Linked DNA regions of Neodiprion lecontei. The protein of the gene in region 1 purifies or fractionates together with the protein of each later gene. This does not show direct contact. Links are inferred from orthologs where the notes say so. Each region holds a gene or a part of one and is shown in the gene's direction. Other genes may lie near its edges. The genes, in order: unconventional myosin-Va and myosin-2 essential light chain.

What was found.
Region 2: the proteins of unconventional myosin-Va (region 1) and myosin-2 essential light chain purify together in Drosophila melanogaster (affinity purification with mass spectrometry; 3 studies listed by BioGRID, with this or other methods). This does not show direct contact. The link is inferred for Neodiprion lecontei from reciprocal best matches to the Drosophila melanogaster genes didum and Mlc-c.

The regions. Positions count from the first base shown.
Region 1 is NC_060261.1:12,493,149-12,497,087, reverse strand, and holds the start of unconventional myosin-Va, read left to right. Parts: upstream 1-1,671; 5' UTR 1,672-1,900; coding exon 1,901-1,927; intron 1,928-3,939. Other genes in the region: DC-STAMP domain-containing protein 2-like, read right to left, coding at 477-580.
Region 2 is NC_060261.1:12,127,876-12,131,287, forward strand, and holds myosin-2 essential light chain, read left to right. Parts: upstream 1-1,109; coding exon 1,110-1,164; intron 1,165-1,466; coding exon 1,467-1,772; intron 1,773-2,106; coding exon 2,107-2,213; 3' UTR 2,214-2,739; downstream 2,740-3,412.

The DNA.
Region 1 (3,939 bases):
GTGCAGGGAAAAAATACATTTCTGAGGCGGGAAGAACATTTTTTTAAATTTGCTATCGTCGCAATAGATCATAGCAGCAGGGTTAAAGTCCAATAAATCGACAAAAAAATGCATTGACCGAGGAAGCATTGGAAAAGCAGCTGGAGATTCCGCCGTTTTTTTTTTAACATTTTTGACGAACCCACGACGAATTGACTTTGAATCAGAGTGGATAATTTCGTAAAACGGCGGTTTCCAATGCAAAGCAACTGGTAACTCTGCTTCCAAAAATCATATACACATATAACAATGAAGAAGAGCTGCTTGATCACAGTAAAGTCCAAGCTGTCCAATGCTCCCTCTTTCTGTTTGGGTTTTTTTCCTACCGATGTCTTGGACTTTAATCTCGAGTGACTCAATTTCTTGGGACGATTGACAAATCGTGACTAATAAAAATAACCAAATATTTACTCGGCATATTAGACTTGATAACATACAGTTTCTTTTTGTAACGAATCTTCTGCCTAAATGTGTAATGGATCTTGGCTCCTTTAGAAACTTCTATAGATCTCATTTTCTCATCCTGATACAGAAGTTTCATTTGCTCAAGCCGCCTAGCTTTCAAAGTCAATTGAAAGAAAGCCATTTTTCAAGTCACACGATTCACTTCCAATACGTATTTATCTATTATACAATTCACTATTGCTCAGACATGATTTTATCCGATTATTACTGCTAGAAAATTAACTGAAGTGAGGTTAATCAATGACATTTAATGAATTATACACCTGTAAATCAGATCCACTCTACTCTATTTCGATAAACAATTGCCATCATATTCTCGGTTATTTTATTCATCATTGCGTGTGTACCTATTTAACATTTATAATATCGAGATGTAGGTATGAAACGTGTAATGAATCGCGTTCAAGTTTGTCAATAAAAAAACAAATTGAATATTGACACGACAGATGTTTTGGTTGCAGCTTAGTGATTATTGTATATTGTATACAAAAGTTGAGTTAATCAAGTTTGTCGGTAAAATTTTCTTTCCTTCATTTTTTGATCGCTCGAAAATTGCTATTATTGGGATATTCGGTTTAGAACAATATGGCGTCGCGTCGAGCGATCAGCTGATAATTTGAGGCTAATTAAACGGAGCGCAGAAAACGTCGTTTAAGTTGTTCGACTCTGATTTTAAGTCGCTAAATCGACATAGAGAAAAACATACGGTGAAAAAACACTTTCAAATACACTAATTACGACACCATCACAATTAGTGTTGCATATTCACTGCCACCAAATGACACCTTAGTTCCGAAGTAACATGATACATAGGTATGTCCAGGATTGTCGAAAATAAAAAAATGTCGAATAAAAATGGGAAAGAACAGAACGAAATGTGTGATGAAAATACGCAACAAAGAAAAGTTTTCGTGCTAATCGTATCTTGTAAGAATACTTCGACAGATTCCTGCATTTTCCTGCACCAATGCAAGTCGATACACCCAACGTCTGTTGTCGCTGGAGTCCATATCGACGCGTTCTGGACCCAATCGACTTCGGCAGAGTCAAAACAGATCGCGACACCTGTCGCTGTAGATAGGTTCATCACCTGTGTGAAACCAGGCTACTGTGGGGGGGGGTAAGGAAAGGAGAGGAATGGAGGAAGTGGGGAGAGCATGAGGCGTACAATGCCAACCGATAGTAAGCCACAAGCCCAGCTGTGAGTCGCAAGCCATCCGAAGGCTGATAGTGAGTCGCGATAGAATCGGTGTCGATTTTGTACGTGTTAAAGAACTCGGAACGAAACCTTCGCGCTCCAAAATGTTGTGACGCTCTTTACGCGGAGGATACACAAGGGATTAATGGAATTTAGTGAGAATCAGCAACGGAAATTGGACTCTTATCCATCGCCACCATGACGACAAGGGAATTATACGTTAAGGTAAACGGTGGATCGAATTCGCGGATGCAAAATTAATCGATCAATTCATATATTTCTTAGGTTTCTCGTTGTTCGCTTGTTTCTCATCGCATTCGCACACGCCCGTACACTTTCATCCTCGACTTTTGAACACGGTTTTCGGAATATGAGAAAAACAAATTCGTCTTGTCGACACGATCGACTGACGCGTTTAACTCTCGCAGTCTCCGTGGAACAACAGAAATAAAACCGGAACCGGTCGAAAGACAGAAAATTCGAATTTGCACACACAGCTGGCCGGCCGAATTATACTCCCGCATATTATGACGAGATGTTTACCTAGGTGCAATTCGCGAGGAAAGCTGCGATATCGATTTGCTCCGAAATTATTTTCTCTACACGCTTATTGTTGTTATCGTTTATAATTCTGAGTTAGGCTCAATTGGGCGATCCATATTTCCGCTCATCGTCCACCGATTGGAAAATAATATATCGCTCGCAATTAGTCATTGTATTGATATGTTCTGACCAATGCCTTGATTACGCAGCTGGTCGATTCAATTGCAGCTTGAGAATATTTGAAATCTATTTCATACTATATTTTAACAAGGATCTGATTCATTCTTGCATTTTTGTGGTGTTCAATTATTTTCCATTGTCCAGGATCCGAAATACGGTGTAAATTTTTTCAAGAAATTGGAATTGGAATTTGTACTAAAAATATCTACGGAATCAATCTACAATACCCATTGATGATGTTAAAGTATTATAACGAATTTTGACAAAAATGTCAAGGTAGGTTTTTGAAGAAGCTTGCTTTTTATAAAACTACAGAGTGTTTGGAAAAGTGATCAATTTTTAATACAAAAATGCATAATTGTGAAATGAAATTCAGCAGTTTTAATAGGTAGTAAATAAATATTTGAAAAGGAGAGGACAAAAGATATGGCTAACATTTATTTCATTACATTTTTCTCCTGCTTCTTTTTACAATAAATTTATTTCTATACTTCGAAAAACATAACTGTAACCTTATAGATAGTTTTCATTAAATCTCGTTTTCTTCCACCAACTATTTCCACGAAATTAAAGAGGAAAGTGTGACCCAGATGAGTTATTGACGTTTTTGACGCGAGAGCTTTTTCGTCCATTCAGAGCTTTGGTATTCTGGAATCTAGGATGAAGAATAAATAAACCAGTCTTACACCGATGTCGAACATGGTTATTTTAACCGTCTTCAAATTTGATGTAAAACATTATCATTTAAATTTCGCAAACGCGTATTCTGCGAAACGCATTCAATGTCAGGTTAACAATAATTGTATCGACTTAATTGGGACATCCAAACTTATTTAGCTGTGTTTGAAAATTTCCGACGATTTGAAGCAATCCCCTGGTGAAAATGTTTTTTCAACAATCTTTGTCAACAATTGGTAAATGATTCGATAAACTCACAAAACTTTCATCACTTCGAAATAAATTTCAAACGATCCTAAAAATTAAAAGAATATTTCTTTGCGGTATTATCAGAAATTTAATTCAGAAGATTTTCATATATGTATAAATTGTAAATAATTTTATTTTAAAGACGCATAAAATATTCGTAAATTATTTAAAATTCTGAAGTGAGCACAGTTGATTCTGCAAATTTTCCATAAAAATAATGTCCATCATCGCACGTGACGAATTATAATCAGTGTTATATTTTTTTATGAAAAAAAAAAAAAAACCAAAACATTTTCTCTTTCAAATCTTATTTTGAAAGGCTGAAAATGTATGAAAACGTTCGGAAAGGTATCTGATTATTACTGTGCACACGAAGTGTTCGAATCCTGGTAATTTTTTGGAATACACTTAAGAATAATAAACCAAACTGAGAGAATTCCGTTCTTTTTTTTTGTTCTTTTTTTTTTCTAATCTGTAGGAAATAATCAGACGAATATTTTGAATCTCGAATATATATCGTAAAGAAAAAACGTGCGGATCATGAAATCCGTATTCGTAGATAGACGCATAGAAAACTTGACCTCGAT
Region 2 (3,412 bases), about 370 kb from region 1:
TAAGGCTGCTGAGAGCGAGGTAATGAAACAAATGGAATCAAGAACTGTTAACCCAAGGAGTGAAATTCGCATTGGTGCCTTAGCCTACGATGTTTCGATTGGTTAAATGCTCTGCAAATCAAAATTCAACCGTGCGGTGGAAACGAATGCCTTTCGCCAAGGAATGCTTAGCGTTACTTGTAGCGGCTTGAAGCATTCTGAACGATAAAAACAGTTGCGCCGATATTTTCATCGAGTATTTGTAGCAATTTGATACAAAAATTGTACAATATTTAGAGAAATTTGAACTTTGGATTAGTCACTTCCGGTGATAAAGAATATCGTGTGGCATTCTGCCTACGTCACGAACGTTTCGTTGTGACTGCAAGAAGCGAGCGGTTGGCGGTTAGTCAGCACGACGACACGCATCTGGTAGTAAGCGTGTATTCCGCGTCAGGAACTTGTACTTTGCACAATGGTAAGGAACGCTTTGACATATTGACGTAAAAAAAATAATTCACCAACTCGTTTGAAATAGACAAGAAATATGTATATAAATTGTGCCCTTGTTCCAGGCTTCGTATTCAGAGGATCAGCTGGCCGGTGAGTGACTGAAGCTCTCTGTATCATACTAAGGAGGGCAGATATTTTTTTCTCTTTTTTCTTTACGTTAATTCAGGTCAAGAATACCTTCGCCTTTTTAGACACGCCCCGCTTCTATTTATCGAGGATTACCTTTTATGGCTCGACTTTTGAAAGTGAACGTTCCTCTGTTATACTGACGCTTCTCCCATATTCTTCCTTACATCGACAATTTATTCTCATTCCTGGCTCGAGAGTTCAGTTTTCGCGATTATCTCATGAAGCTGACAACGTAAACAGCCGCGCCTAAATTCTTCGCCTTGTATTATTCCCTAATTTCATGTTTCTATTCAATTTTTAATAATCGTTGTGTTTGCGCGAATTTGAACGCAGATTTTAAATTTTAACGTCCATGACCTACTATTTTCTCAAAGAGTGATTTAAATTTACGAAAAATATCTGGAAAATTCATCAATTTTGCTGTTTTTTGTTTTTATTGATTTCTTTTTGTTCTCTTAATCTTTCACAATATACATAAACATACAAAGATGTATGGATACAGTTATCAAGAACTTTCCAACAGGATGATGTCATCTGTTGAGGGTAAATCATATAACTTAATAATTTTACCTTACTTGTAAAGCTCAGTGACGTCATTAGTATTGATAAAATTCCAATCTTTACTTGTCTCCTGAGGATGGACATAATGACGCACTTATTAGATTTAGGTTCAATTTTTGTTGATTTTGTAAAATCTAATCACAAATTTCTTTGCTCTAGATGTAAAAGTATTTATTTTTGCAATTATAAGATAGAATTATCGGATTTGCAGGAAAAAATTCGCAACATTGTTTTTTTTTCATCTCATCTGGTTTGTTTATTGTCATTTATTAATAATATTTTAGAATTCCAAGAGGCGTTCCAGCTTTTTGATAGCCGCGGAGATGGAAAAATCCACATTGCTCAAATTGGCGACGCCCTGAGAGCCTTGGGGCAAAATCCAACGGAATCAGACGTCAAAAAGTTCACTCACCAGCACAAGCCTGATGAGAGAATTAGCTTCGAGGTATTCTTGCCCATTTATCAAGCCATTAGTAAGTCTCGCACCTCCGATACTGCTGATGACTTCATTGAGGGATTGAGACACTTCGACAAAGATGGAAATGGTTACATTTCATCCGCCGAACTCAGGCATCTGTTAACCACACTTGGTATGTAAACTATTGCCCAACTGATGTATGTTGAGACCTACATGGCAAAATTCTTTTTTTTTCACAAATTCCTCTTAAATATTTTTTATAAATTTCTCTGAACTATGTTAATTCATAGATATTTCTGACAGATTCTGAAAATAATTTTGGACAGCAGTGATTGTTCGTACCAAAAATAAAATATGATTTATTAGATCGTTTCATTATTTTCAACGTCAACAAAATTGTTCAAACAATATTTTTACTAAAAAGTGTGTTATATCTCCGTACTCATTTTTTGTCTATTCGTATATTTGAGGAGCATGATAATTACTAATGGTTCATAATTATTTAGGAGAGAAACTCAGTGATGAAGAAGTTGAGACCCTGTTAGCTGGCCATGAGGATTCACAAGGGAATATTAATTATGAAGACTTCGTTCGTCAAATCATGTGCGGCTGAATGCACTATATTCTTATGCAGTAATTGCTTACTCATTTTTTATTAGTTTCGTATTGTTTTCAAAAGTATTTAAAAAGAAATAAATATCTTTGATTTTTATTTATATGTCACATTCGAAGCAGATGCAAATGTTGCAACAACGATTTATGGATACCATTCATCGGTTGCTATTGTATCACAAGTAAAATAAACTTTTTTATATTATACAAAAAACAAAACAAAAAAGAAAAAAAAACTAATAAGAGAGATAATCAACTCAATTATTTGAATAGAAATCTAGCTAATAAAGTGTGGTGCCTTGACCGAATATCCTTTATGTCGAACCAATCTTCCGTGCTATAATTCAATTGATTAAATCTGAATCGTACACATTCTTAGTGGCTGAGAAATAGCCATCAATAAGAATATTTCTGAGGTACAGCGATGCTCCTCATTTGCGATGTATAATCGTAATATTTAAATCTATCTGGATGGAATAAAAACGTAACTCAAGATGATTGTAAAACATCTTGTTTCTGCATTCAAATATCTAGCTGTTACATTATTTATAATAAACGAATAGTACGCATTTGCAAATTCTCATTTTTACCAATTCATATCGTAAATGTGCGAGGACAGAGAAAATTTATCTGATGTGAGATAAATATAGAACATTACGCTTATCGTATATTAGATTATTAAACTTCTGTGTTTCACATATATAAGCTTGACAACAGTTAGTTTATGCCGTGCATCTGCATTAGTTTCTATTTGTTTCGTGAAGATATTCAAAGACTGTTACTATCAGAAGTCTTAGGTTCTACCTAGTTTCTCACGAAACACTTCAATAATGCACGTCGAAATCTGTATTGTCTATGTCGAATGCAATATCGAGATGCAACCGTAGAAGATAAATTCGTCGAAATTTCAGAAAGTTTTTCGAAATACTTCCGCTACTTATCATTCGTAACTTTACAAGTGATTACGGCACTGTCGTGTCGACAGTCTGTATTCGTAGTCTCCGTCGTAGTTGGCAAACAACTCGTTTTATGCGCATGCGCGACGCGCAGTCTCAGTCTCGTAATCGGACGGTGACGTCAGAGTACACGTACAAGGATAGAATGTTCGGGGAGATTTTCCACATTGCTCCAAATCGCACGTACGCTCAACAGCGCAGCAAGCAAGAAAAGTATTAGCTCAGTGTCTCCAGAAGAAAACAA